Linked DNA regions of Pelodiscus sinensis. The protein of the gene in region 2 interacts with the protein of the main gene of each other region in a biochemical or structural test. Links are inferred from orthologs where the notes say so. Each region holds a gene or a part of one and is shown on either strand. Other genes may lie near its edges.

What was found.
Region 1: the proteins of KPNA2 (region 2) and CSE1L form a complex in vitro, tested with the Homo sapiens proteins (2 studies listed by BioGRID). The link is inferred for Pelodiscus sinensis from reciprocal best matches to the Homo sapiens genes KPNA2 and CSE1L.

The regions. Positions count from the first base shown.
Region 1 is NC_134728.1:20,606,649-20,613,724, reverse strand, and holds the start of CSE1L (exportin-2), read left to right. Parts: upstream 1-4,061; 5' UTR 4,062-4,176; coding exon 4,177-4,201; intron 4,202-6,515; coding exon 6,516-6,611; intron 6,612-7,076. UniProt on the Homo sapiens protein: Export receptor for importin-alpha. Mediates importin-alpha re-export from the nucleus to the cytoplasm after import substrates (cargos) have been released into the nucleoplasm.
Region 2 is NC_134730.1:20,964,393-20,971,617, forward strand, and holds the start of KPNA2 (importin subunit alpha-1), read right to left. Parts: upstream 3,013-7,225; 5' UTR 2,858-3,012; intron 1,931-2,857; 5' UTR 1,886-1,930; coding exon 1,811-1,885; intron 1,702-1,810; coding exon 1,564-1,701; intron 1,148-1,563; coding exon 1,059-1,147; intron 443-1,058; coding exon 174-442; intron 1-173.

The sequences.
Region 1 (7,076 bases), on a different chromosome or scaffold from region 2:
TTAAGGACACATTAGCCACGCTCCCTGCCACAAGAAATCCCACCCCTGGAGGTAGTACTCCTGGAGTCAAGATGGACACATGACCGGAAGTAAAGAGTGTCATGTGACCACTCTAAGAACTCTGCCTATAGGAATGGTTTCTCTCCCCCACCCCCGGGTACCCCCATGCAACTAGCCTGCAATTATATTAACCCACCTTGCATTTCATTAACTCGGGGAGTGGCTGGGGGAAGTGTTCCCTCTAAGATTTTTCTCCCATGAGCGGAGTGAGTTTTGTATTGTGCACCAATATTGAGTTCATGTGCGCTTGTTCGGATGTGTGCCACTGTGGCACCCAAGTTGTTAATTAATACCTTTAAACTTTTCCCTTTTCCCCACTGCTGCCATGTCTCCCACTCCTCCCTGGTGCTTGCTGTCCCCCATCCTCCTCTGCTGTCCTGGCCCCTGCCCTTCTCTCCCCTCATCCCTTTAGGGACCTGCCCTCTCCCCATCCTCTTTGACCCCTGCACCAGCACTTCTGTTTTCCCTGTGCCCACTTCTCCTCTAGCCCCACTCTGATCATCTATAGCTACCCCTCCCAATCCCTTCTCCTAACACCTCCCTCTACTCACCTGCTCTGCCTCTCTCCTCTAATGCCCGTCCTTCCCCTCCACATGTCTGCCCTTCTGCTTCACCCCCACAATCCTTTGGCACCTGCATCTTCCCTTACCACTGCAACTTCCTGGTGCCTCCCCCTTCCCTCACTGCTCCTACCCTCGTTGCCTGCTTTCTCCCTGGTGCTCACCCCCTCACCCATGTTCTGCTCCAGTTCCCCTCATGCCCCTCTGTGCCCTTACACATGACTTGCTCCATCCTCATGCCCACCCCTCCTTTCAACCCCTCTTCTCCTGGCATCATCTCCACCCCTCCTCCTTCCTTTTGCTCCCATTATCCCTCCCCCTCTCCCAGCATCACCCTGTCCCCCCTCTTTCCCACCTGCACTGATACCTTCCCCCCCTTCCTCCCTTTTCCTCATTGTCTCCTCTTGGCCCCCTGACATTTGTCTCTCCTCCACCCTGCCCCGCGGTGCCTTCCCCTTTTTTCTCCTGTCCTACCCCCTCCCTCAGTACAAGTCCCTTTCTCTCCTTACCCACCTCCCCCTTGTTTTCCCCCTGCCTCACCTTCTGCCTTCCAGTTTGCAGGGCTGGAGCTGGGGTCATGGTGCTAATTTTAGTACTGCTGCCCCAGTCCCCACCAGCTGCCCCAGCTCCAGCTGGAGTCAAGCTGCAGCTGCACGAGTCCCATTCCAATTGGGCTGCCCCTGCTGGAATGCACCTAATGAGACTACTACTTGACTCCAGCTGGAGCTGGGGCTGCCTGCGGGGACTGAGACTGCAGTACTAAAAATAGCACCATGGGCGGCCCTGCCTCCAGCTGGAGTCAAGTGGCAGCCATACAAGGCGTGCTCTTGGACCTGCCTGGTGTGTGTTTTCCCTCCCTCCCTTTGCCCCGCAGTGGCCACTGTACAAAGAACAAGCGGCAGACTGGAGATGGAGGAGGAGGCAGAAGCATCCTGAGATGGGAGCATGCGGGGGGAGGGAGGGACTGGCATGGGGTTGCCAGGCATCATCGTGCACTGCACTGGAGCTCGAAGAATGCTCCGGTCTCCAGCTTGTGACCAAGCCCAATCCAGAAACTGTGCGCCACCGGAAGCTGCCCTGGTTGTGGCTGGCAAAGCACCCAGGAGCCGCCTAAGTGCTGGGGGAGGGCATGTTGCTACTGCACCATGCTAGTGTCTGCGAGGCTGTCCCAGCGTGGGAGGGAAATGACAGTGCAGTTTCTAGGATGATCTGACTGGGTTTTCCAGGACATTTCCCACATGATAGGGACACTGGGACAGAGCATTTAAATTCGGGACTGTCCCAGAAAAACCGGGACGTATGGTCAGCGTAACCGTGGTGTACATATGGCTAGAATAATGGAAATATTCTTCTGTGAACCTAGTTTACCACTTTTCAAGGAGGTGGATTTACAACACTGATAGTAAAACCCCTTCCATCACCCTCTGAAAGTGGGTATTGTGGGATATTGGTTTGCAGGAAAGATAGATCTTTCTAATGGTGAATCATAGCACGCTGCACTTCTTTCTGTCCCTTGACTCTGCCCTCATTTTGTCTTGCTTCAGGTAAAATCCTAGCAAATACTTGTTTCCAAGGTATTGTGGTAGGGATGTTTGAGTTAGGGATGTTAGCTATTGGGTAACTGCATTCAATTTTAATGGTTTAAAAAACAGCTCCCATTGAGGACTGGCTGACTGCCACCCTGTGCTGATAAAGAGGCAGTAGCGCAAGGTAACAGCAGTTTCTGTCCATAGGATGTGAAGCAGGTCTCCCCACAGACAGGGGCTGTTTTCTGGCAGCTTCCCCTGCCCTCCACCCCCAACTGCTGCCTCTGATAGAGGCCTCAGAGGGGGTAGATGGCACCATAGAGTTGGTGCTGGGGGGAACCAGCTTTTAAGCCTGCTCTCTTCCCGCCCCCCTCCCACCTCCCCCTCAGCACCGGCTCCTGCTCTCCCCACCCCTGCTAAGCTTTATACTGCAGAGCCCACAGCACAGGTAAGCATGTAACTGCTGAAATTCTCGGCACTTACATGATTATCTTTTTACATGATTTTTAACATCCCTAATCATGGTTTAGTCAGTCAGATATTCTGCCTACTATATTTTAACTGAGTTATGGAAATAAGTATTCCTCGGCGTGAAACTCATGCCTGATAAGTGATGTAATGATTTAGAGCAGACATTCAGTGTTTTGAAAAGTTCTTTATAGTATTCCATGCAAGTGGATTGGAGGAGCAATGAATTTTTCTTTTCTGCACTGCACTGCTGACATAGTAATTCTTGCCTTCAGTGACTGTGTCTTCCTCCTTAATATGTGAATTATGTTAGTGTCTGTCAGCATAGACACTTGCCTGGGTCAGCTCAAAAAAATTTTTACTCTCTCTAGATTAAACTGTGGTCTGTTAAGGAAGATGCATTATGATGTCTTTCTCATTCTAGGGATGTTAAATGTTGGTTAATGGAATTGTCAATTAACCTCATGAATTCTTATTGGTTACTCAGCTATTCTATAGACCCCAGGGGTGGGGCCGGCAGCCAGTGCGTTCCAGCCCCACTCATGAGGAGCCCCTTGCCACTCTGCGCTGCTGCCTTTGTATCAGCAGAGTGGAGTGCCTGGTGGGAGCTGGTCCATGAAGGGAGCCAGTTTTAAAACTAGCTCCTTTTGCGAACTGGCTGTCACCCCTCATTGCTGCCTTTGATACAGTGGTGGCAGCCCCTGTCTGGGGAAAGAAGGGGATCTGAGTTCCTGGACCTGGCATGAGCCGGAACTGAGCCAGGCTGCCTGCCCGCCTGACTCCCAATACATTTTAAATGAAGTTGCAGTGGGGGTAGGTCCCGGCATGAGCCAGGATTGAGCCAGGCTGCTGCCCGGGCTGCTAAAGAATTTACTGCAATGAGGGTGGAGGGAGAATGTGTGTAGTCTATCACATTAACCAATATTTTTATCGGTTAATCGACTACACTGTTACATCCGTCTCTGATACATAGCAATATAGCCCCGCAACCAATTGTTCATAATGTTAATGTGAATTAAATCATTTTCCTTTCAGGTATGGGCCCATAAATAATCCCATTGAAATTAATGTAGGCTAAAAAAGATTTAATCCAAAATCTGAAATGGGACTGTGAAGATAGACTTAAATTTCATTCTTTTTGAGGTTTTTCTGTTATTTTATAATAAGCTCTTAAAGGAGAAAAGCCCATTCTGTCTTTGTGGAAATAAGAGTGGTTTGGCGAACTGGCTGAAATGCCAGATGCAACTGAAAGGGCTCTGAAATTCACAACTCGTGCTCTGAGATCGGAGAAGGAAATCATAGTCATCCGAATTCAAAGTTGTTTCAATGACAATTTCCCAGGGAAGAAAATCTCTGAAAAGCATACAAGTAGGTTGAGACTGGTGGGAATAAAAACTTAATTCAGTAGCTAACATAGCTTTGGCTAAAATGTCTTTTATTTCCTGGTTGTATCAAAAAAGGATGAAGGCCGTAGATGAGAGGTGGAGTGTGAAATAGAGAAAACTTTGTGTAAAGATGAAAAACCAGCAACATTCTTGTAGCTACTATAATTCCCATTAACCATGGGATTATGGGAAAGGAGCACTGGTATGTTTTGTTTCTTATCATTGCAGGAATGTTTTCAAGTCTGCATAATTCACAAGTGACACAAGTTTGATTAGGGTAGAGTATGTCAATATATCTATTAGGGATGTAAGTGAATAGTCAACTAATCGATAAGCCTGGGCTTATCGGTTAGTCACATCGATTACTCGCATCCCCCCACCTGCTGCCTCTGTATTAGAGGCAGCAATGTGGGGGAGCAGAAGTCGGTGCTTGGGGGAGTGGGCTTAAAAGCTCCCCACCAGCACTATCTCTGAGGCGCCATCTCCCCCTTTGCCCCCTGCACTGCTGTCTCCATCAGAGGCAGCAGTGCAGAGAGGTGTCAGGGGCTGCTATGAAGTAGCTTCTGCCCGTGGCAAGCCCAAGCTTGCTGCAGGCAGAGATTGCTCTGGCAGCAGCAGCCACTGTCTGCAGGAGGTCCCAGCTCCCCGCTGGGACCCCCTGCGGACGGGCTGCTGGACCCAGTGTGAGTAGGGACTGAGCAAGCTGGGCTCAGACCCAGTTCACTCTGGGTCTGGGAGCTCCTCCCTCTGCGGCTTTACAGTTTAAATGTAGTAAAAGCCAGTAAGGTAGATAGCCCAGCTCCTACTACATTTAAACTGCAGAACCACAGAGGGGTATCTCCCAGGCTTTGTAAAAGCTGGGACTGAGTGCTTTCTCCCTTATCGACTAATTGTATAGTTGATAAAAATTCTATCAAATACCCAATTAGCGAACTACCCACCTGTTAACATCCCTAATACCTATATTAAACAGCTGCTTTTCTAGGCCAGGCTTTCCAAGCCAATACTTGGTCCATTTGTTTCATGAGCACTGATTTTCATTCAGGCTGAAAAGATTAACTGAATGACTTATGTATTGGTTGATTTCCTGGCCTTGCAAAATTATACCTTCCTGGAGTGAGCAATATTTCATTATGGACAGATCAAATATTTGTTTTACCATGGTAATGGTCGATGAAGTCATTTTACCACATACCCTACGCAAGTTTACGAGCTATGTCTACAGAGCATGCTTATTTCAAAATAAGCTATTTCTGAATTTTTTTTCCAAAATAGCTTATTTCAAAATAGCACGTCTACACCACAGGGAAGCCTCAAAACTAGTCCAAGGCAGGCTTCCCTAATGTGGATGTGCTACTTCAATTTATAGCCTGAGAAGGCACTTGGAAGTAATTACTTTGAAAGGCCTTGGGGAGGAACTATTTTGAAATAGCAGCAGTGAAGCATCCAAACTACTGCTATTCTGAAATAGCTATTACAGAATAAGCATTATTCCTTGTGAAATGAGCCAGCCATTATTTTGAAATTATTTTGAAATAATTGAATTGCTGTGTAGATGCTCGCATTATTTCGAAATAACATTAGTTATTTCGAAATAACTGTGTTGTGTAGACACACCCATATTGGATATCACCTTTTAAGAGGATTTTGTTAGCTAATATGAGCTAATGAATGTGATTATAGTCAGGTCAACTAAATACTTCAGGGAAAAGTGATGCCTCTAACCTTTCTGTTTAGGGGCAGGAGGGTATGCCTTTACAACATGCAGTGTTCTCTCACATACACCAAAGACCTAAATAGTTTACATCACTAATAAAGTCATCACATTTGTAATAGAAAATTCATATTCTGATTTAACAGATAGTTTGCATTACTTCTAAAGCATTTTTCCAGCATTTTATAGTGTATATGTTGATGCTCTTTAGAGGTACAAACAGACCAACCTGGGAAAAGTAGGAGTGGGGGGAAGAGCTGGTACAAAAACTGAAATGTGTCTTGACTTTGAGTGACAGTTGTCACTTGTATGATCTCAACTAAGGTGTGAAGGTATCAGATCAATGAGGTGAACCTGGAAATCTGTGTAAAATAATATGGGGAGAGGAAGAGTAGCATAGCTTGGCTTTGGCTTGAAGGAGGTTTCTGTTCCTAGAGTATTTTATACTGGAAGCTCTTTACAAAAGTTAATGCTCGTAATGTGGCTTTAAGCAAGAGTTAGTTTTCCAGAGAACTTAACTGTTCTGCTTGGAATTCTCTAGGTGCTCAGGCCTAACTCATAAAATAGCTGTTGGCAGTCCTGCATAATTGTGAAAATAAATATACATCTAAAGCAAAAAGTATGACATTTTCACATCAGTTTTGCATGGATATAATACAGGCTATGAATTCACTTTCTGAAATTTCAAATGAAAATGTAAATCCTAAATAATTTCATACACTTCATATCTGGCTGGTAAACAGATTGCATGGGAAGTATTTTTTACTCTGAATTCTTAACCAAATATATTATGCATCTTTAGGTTTTGCAGTTATGGAACTCAGTGATGCCAATTTACAGACTTTAACAGAATACCTAAAGAAGACACTAGATCCAGATCCTTCTATACGGCGTCCAGGTAAAACAGTTAAAATGCATAGCTCTTGGCTTAAAAGCATAGTGTTTGTTCAGCTCTTCTGTCTGCCTGAACTGCCACTGAAGTTTGTTAAATGTGATCTTTTTCCTATCTTAAACTATTTTTGATTAGTTTCTAAAGCAGTTGAGTCTCTGAAGTAACCCTGTGACAAAATGTGTAAATAAAAGCTATCTAACTCTTCTCTTTTTCCTTCTCTTCCATTTCCCTTCTTAATTTCATATTCTTTTATCTAAATACGGTTGTCAGTATAAAGAAGCAATGCTGTTCTCAAGCATGGTTAATACTAATTCAAAATAATCCAGAATTTGCTGTGTGTGGATCATTGTTTTTTAGAAATGGTGAAGATGAAATATTTCCACAGCCTGCTCTGCATTAAAAGCTTTTATTTGTGGTAGAAACACATTAGCACCACAGGTTTTAAATATTTGTCAATTTTTGTTGAAATGC
Region 2 (7,225 bases):
CATCTGAATCACTATTTTACTCTTGCTATGTATGAATTTACAAGCTTTGCATTATAGTCAGGCATATTGCACACAACAGCTCCTCAGTTGAAAGTCTGTCCCCAATTGGCTCTCTTCCCCTTGCATTGAGGAAGTAGGGCTGAAAACAATGATCAAGCTCTACATGGATATACCTGCAATATTTCCTAAAGCCCACACGGCCTGTTCACTGATGTGAGTGTGAGGTGAAGCCAACAGAGATATAAAGGCTGGTATAGCCCCACCATCCACTACAGCCTTAGTTTGCTCTGATGTGCCAGAGGCAATGTTGGTAAGCGCCCAAGCCGATTCAAATTGAATAGGGCTACAGTCTGTTCTACCCAAAAAGGCAACAAATTTTGGTATCAAGCCAGCCCGGATTATATGATCTATTGGAGGTTGCTTCTCTCTGGACAGGAGTTTCCTAAGGAAGGAAAAAAAATAAGGGAGTTATATTTTGTCCACTAAAATCTTTAGGGTAGATTCCAGCAAAGCTTGAGAACTATTTTTTAAAGTAAGAAAAAAATTCAAAAGGGGAAGTAGCACAATGCACTGAGAAGTTCAGATAAGCTACCGATCACTTGGAACATTAGCTAGCTAGGAAGCTTTAAAGAGTTAAAATTGCTTAAGGAAATTTTTCCTTAAGAGGTTTTCAGTTGAGTAACTTAAGTGAAATGCTTTATGGTGCTGCAACAATACAAATGCATCTGAACTGCTCAAGAGAGATCTTGTAATGTACAGAGAGCAGCACCTCTATGTCACACCTAAGAATCAGTGGCATAATTAGTGTGCACCAGGCCACACCTTAGATTATTCAAGGGTATACTGATGCTAAGTGATAATTCAGTTTGGCCCTAGTCTCCATGCTGACTAAAGTCAATTCCAAGAACATTTACTTCAGAGAGCAGATTAAAATATTGCTGGTTTCTATACACAGAACTAGGTTTTAACAAGTATTTGCTATAAACTTGTGCTCTGATGGGGGGGGAGGGGGAGGAAATCAGCTAATTCCCAGCAAATCCGATCACGAAAGTTCTTACCTGGCAGCCTGAGTTGCCTGCAACTGCAGCTCCAAGTTGTTACTGTTAATTCCTTTGACAATTTCTTCAACAGACCAGTGTGCAGTGGCCTGCATGAGAAACAGAAACTTAAGACTATGTTGGGAAAAAGGTGTCTGTATAGTAAAGCAAAAGCTCTCTCAGCAGTCCACAAGGCAGACTATTAAAAGAAGGCACTTAAATTAAAAATGGAGCATTGTCCAATTATAATGGGATTCTGAATCCTTATCAGCCATAATTTTGTCTAGCCTAGAAAAGACAGTTATTAGGTGTGACAACATGAATTTTAATTCATTTTATTGCAACCAGTTAGTATTATCATAGACAGTGTTTAAAGCCATGTCCCAACTGTAGACAAAGCCTGCAGTCTGAGGCTATGCAAGCAGGGATTTGGCACTATGTACTCTGTTATAATTGGTAACAATTATATGGTACCACAGACATCCATTGTAACACATCCACTGATGAAGCTGGGAGATTTAGTTACCTGATTGTTTCGATTTTCTTGAAGAGGTGAAGTAGCATCATCTGGGAGAATGCTGACATTTCTTCTTTTAAGCATCTGATCATCTTTCTTAGCTTTCCTCAACTCTACATTGACTTCAATGCGCCGCCGCCTCATTTCCTGAGAAAGGCAGATATGCCGTCATGAGGAACTCTTTTCTTTTTTAAAGGGCTAAATTATGCTTAAACACTGATGAGCACAGACTCCAGTTAAAAAAAAAGATACTCACTGTAGTGTCTTTTCCTTTATTCTTGAACCTGTTCAGACGAGCAACTGCTGCACAAGCATTCTCATTGGTAGACATTTTTATAGTAGTCAGACTCAGGCAATATCAACAGAAGAGAGAGACCTGAAATACATATTAAACTCAAATCTAACTTACTTAGATTTTAGAGAAAGATATGCATTTGAAATCAAGATGGGAGTTAGAAATAGGGATGTCCAGACCTGAGGTGGAATAATGTGCAAACAAGGAGCATTGCCTCATTTCAAATGAGACAACCATTTTTTATTGTTACAAGTGATACGTAAGTTTACCACAAATAAAAATTATACATTTTAGGTTTTCTGCAGCTATCAACGTATAATCACATTAATTACTTCTGCAAACACCACTGATCATTCAGGCACAGTGACAAGGAAGCTTCCGCCCCTCCCCCCAACAAAACAGAAGAGATTTGCTACAGGATCTACAGCTCCCTGGGTTAAAATTTCGATTCCCTTTACGGAACTGACTAGATTTCACTTTGACAATGGCCTTTTAAAGGGAGAGAGCCATTTTGCAGACACACCCCAAGCGTAGCGCAGCCGCTTCATTTATAACGGGGTACAGATCTCCGCTCCGTGTGGAGGCTAAACCAAGCCCCAAACCAACACCACGAAGCAACCACAGTCGCACCCTGAAGAATATATTAGGCGAATTAAAATAAGCCAGCAACCCAGCCAGTGCCTTCCTTAGGAGAGTGGCGGGCTAGGAATCGCCCATCGCTTTAGTAACCTGCAATGAGCAAAGGGGGGGGGGGGAAACGGTCCCCCACCCGACTATCTGTGCAACCCATACGAAACCCCCAACGCATTTCACCCTCGATAACTCCAGCCCATCCCCCCACACAGCCCCAGAATCTCCCCCTCACAAGCACACACAGCCCTGCCCCCCCCACTCCCACCGCTCCAACACACGCCCTAGAGCCCCTCAGCTCCCCCTTTTCTTTAACCTCCCCCCCCCACTGCCTCCCAATTCAGCGCACGAGACACCTTCCCCCCGCCGCGCGCGCACCTGCACCAGCGATCGCTGCTCGTCCCTGCGGCGCAGCCTCTGACTCGACCAGGCCAAGCACCAGCGCACACGTTGCCGCCGCCTCCGCCCCTTTTGCCTTGACTCCGCCCGTGGCGGGATTTAAATTTCCCGCGTCTTCGCTCTCCGATTGGCCAGTTCGAGCCAAAGCAACATTCTCATGGGTCCGTTTGAAAAGCAAGCTCTTCTCGCGAGGCGGCGGGGGAGAGGGGTGGGGAATCTCACGAGAACTCCGCCGGGATCATGGAGAGGTCTGATTGCACGTCACAGAGCGTAGAAACGCGCTACAGAGCGTAGAAACGCGCGGCTCGCGCCTCCAAGAATACCGATCCCCCCAGCACGCAAGGCGCCACCTAGCAGCCAGAAGCCCGAAAGAGACTACAGTTCCCAGCATGCAATGCTCGGCCGGGTCCTTGTCTGCTCGAAGGACTGTGGAGCATGGGATGCTGGGATTTGTTGTCCCCGCAGGGTCAGTTCTTATGTGGACTTCAAGGGTCCAAACGATCTGCTTTCAGTAGCAAGGAGGTTGAGTGACGCCTGAAGGAGGAAATCATTGCTCTGCTCTTACCTCCCCCCCTTTACACCTGCAGGGTCACATCCTATAGCAGGGGTGGGGAACCTCAGGCCCAGGAACTGGATATGGCCCTGTGCCCTGGCTTGCCTGGATCCAGCTCCCAAGGCTCAGTCCTCCCACACCCCTTAGTACTGATGAGCCCTTGCTTGCGCTCCAGTTTCCCCCTGACCCCCTTCCACCGTGCTGCTGTCCCACTGCAGGGCTGAAGCACACAAAATCTACTAGGCTGGGCTCCCCTAGCCTCTGGTGTGCAAGGGGAATGTGGGAAGTGTCTTCCTCAGTTGTGGGCCATGTTAGTGAGGGTTTTATGCTTTTTTGTTTCTTTGTTTTTGTTCTTTTGCTTCTCTCTTGTGTGCAGTCCCAACTGATTTTTTCTGTGGGCCAGCAGCCCTTGACCCAAAAAAGGTTCCCCATCTCTACTAGGGTTAACCATGTTTGAACTTTCAAAAAAGGACACCAAAAAGGACACTCCTGAGAGGGAGTGTATCTGTATCTACACTATACTAATACACCATGACTGTGTCTACATTGGCATGATTTTGTGCAAAAGTGGGTGCTTTTGCGCAAAAACTTGCTGCCTGTCTACGCTGGCGGGGAGTTCTTGCGCAAGAACACTGACATTCTAATGTGTGAAATCAGGGCTTCTTGCGCAAGAATTATGATGCTCCCACTCAGGAATAAGCCCTCTTGTGCAACTGTTCTTGCGCAAGAGGCCAGTGTAGACAGGCAACATGAATTTCTTGCTCAAGAAAGTCCGATGGCTAAATGGCCATCAGAGCTTTCTTGCGCAAGAGAGCATCTACACTGGCACAGATGCTTTTGCGCAAAAGCACATCTCTTGCACAAAAGCACATGCCAGCGTAGATGCTCTCTTGCGCAAATACTTTAACGCAAAAACTCTTGCATTCAAAGTATTTGTGCAAAATCTTGCCAATGTAGCCGTAGCCGTAATGAGTTGGTAGCTACTGATACAGATACACTCTCTCTCAGGAGTGTTCTCTTTTTTGAACGTTCACATATGGTAACATTAACCTCTGCCTTATAGCATGACCAAACCCCTGGTCACCAAAATCTACTGCATGCTTTAGCTATGCAGAACTGTATACAGCAGTGGTTCCCAACCGTCGGTCCACAGACCAATGGTGAGCCAGGGAAGCTCTGGGGGTGGGGACTTAGGTACACCACCCAGGGCCTCCCCTCACACCACAGCTGTTGAGAGGTCTCCCCCAGCTGCAGAAGATCAGTTCACTGTGCAGTGGGAGGGCCACGCGGAGCCTAGCACGGCACGCTTAGAGCAGCCACAACCTGGGCAGCAGTGCTCAGCTGGAAGCGAGGAGGCAGCTCAGGGCGGGGGGCGAAGCAGGCACTGGAAGGTCCAGGGGCACGGTTGGTGCTGGGGGGGGGGCTCTAAGAGGCAGGGGGCTGGCATGGGGGGGCTCTGAGGGTGAAGCTAATACTGGGGGTCTCGGGGTGTGGGAGGCCCAGCAGGATTGGGTGCAGTGGAGCTCCGGAACAGGAGGCTGGCACTGGGGAGTCTGGTGATGGAGGGCTCTAAGGGGGGACTGGCACTGCGGCATTTGAGATGGGGACTGGCACTGGGGACTCTGAGAGCAGGAAGCTGGCACGGGGGGGGGGGGGGGCGGTTGGGTGCAGGGGATTCTGGGATCAGTGTCTGGTTTGGGGGAGTAGTGGAGGGGTGGGGGCCTCTAGGTGTTAGGGCTGGCACTGAGGAGTTCTGGGGGCTTGGGCTTTTTATAATGCGGACTAGCATACCCATTCACAAACTTTTGGCAGACCAGCAGCATTTTATTGCATATTTGAATATTCATTATTCACATAATGAGTGTGCAAATATTCAAATAAAATGTTAGCGGTTTGCCGAGCTATGGTATAAAAAAGATTGGGAACCACTGGTATACAGCACTGTAAGCCCAGGGTTCAAACTCAGCCTCAAGTATTTTCTGTCTACACACAAATCACGCTATTTGAGGGTTCATACTCAGGACCACATTGGGGTGGAGCAGCTGAGGCTCAGTGAAGCCAGGACTAAGGTAGCAACTTTGTAATATTTAAAAACCAGACACTACAGCAGGCATGCCAGAACCTCCTCCATCCTCTCTTCTCTTGAGGTACCTGCCCCTATCTCACCTCTTTCTTGAGGTCCAATCCCATTTGGTCCTCTTTCTTGCTGTCCCCTCCACTCTTTGCTCTTTCCCTCTTCTGCCCCCTACTCCCATCCCACCCAGGTCACGAGGGAGCTGCAGCCCCCTGATGCTGGGGGAAACATCAGATCATCACCCACCCAGCTGAATAAGGACTTTGAGTGTTGATCTGGTGTCTCCCCCAACCACTGTAATTGGACTTTGGGTGTCCAGTCAGCAGATCTGAATGGTCACTGTCAGGTTCCCTTTTCCACTATACTTTCCGATAAAAAACTGGGCGTCCTAGCCAAGACCTAGGGTTCAAGCCCATTGGACTCTTTCTGTGGCAATCAGGTATCCCACACTCTCATGGTCTAACTTCCTTTGTCCTCTGGACAGTCAAGTTTAGTGTCTGTCAGATTTTCTGAAACTTCACAACAAAGAAACACCCACATTTTGGGAAGACGATAGGAGGTCTGGGATACGGATGATTGGACACTGATTTACATAATGCAGTGTAGATGCTGGAGCTGCAGATTGGGACCCAGGGTTCAACCATTCCTTACCTGTGGTTTCAGATGAGTGTAAATACTCAAGCCCAAGTTTAACAAACTGAGGATCTGCTAACTTGAGTTCTGTTAAACCTGGGCTCATATTACATTGTAGGGCACATGTGCACAACAACAATTAAATACCTATGGCTGGCCTGTGTCAGCTGACTTGGGATGTAAAATAGGTGGTAGATATTCAGATTCAGGATGGAGCCCAGACTCCTCCTTGAGCCTGACTGTCTGCATAGCAATGTTTAGCCCCTCAGCCCAAGCCTGTGTCAGCCAGCCTGGCCTAGGACTGCGGCAGCATTGTGTATACATTCCCAAAGCCATACCCTTTGTGCCTCCCTCCTTGCTCTTGGCAAAACCAAGACCCTCAGACTCCAAACCAAAGGAGGCACTGGACCTAAAGAAGAATACCTGCTGCTCTTTACTGGGATTTAAAGTAAATTGATTGAAGATGCACTACTTGCATACTAAACACCAAATCAAAAGAGCATCAACCTACTCCAACCCCCAGAATCCAAATAAAAAACATACTAGGCCTTAGTTTACTAAGACTTCCCCAGAAACTCACAAAAGCCAGCTCAAAAGTAGAGGCTTTGCAGTATATGTCCAAAAGAGTAAAAAGATTTGGCATATTTAGCATCTAGCAAAGAGAAAATTCCAAATTTGAAGGGAGACCACACTGCCAGCAGCTCACTGTCATGTAGCAAAGAAGCTCTAGGTCAAGTTGAGTAGCTTTCCTGATCAAAACAACAGCAATTTGGTGCAGAGTGAAAAATAGTGTTTCAGGTAAAAAGTAAGAATGTTAAATTTAGATTAATCAGCTAATTGAATGGTGGATGCAATTTGCATTGTCCATTTGATTAGTTGATAAGGGCACCTCCACTTTTGAAATGTAGCAAGAGCCCTGCCTGCTCTTAGAATCACAGAATACTAGGACTGAAAGGGACCTTGAGAGGTCATCAAGTCCAGTCCCCTGCCCTCATGGCAGGACCAAATACTGCCTAGACCATCTCTGATAGACATTTATCTAACCTACTCTTAAATATCTCCAGAGATGGGGATTCCACAACCTCCC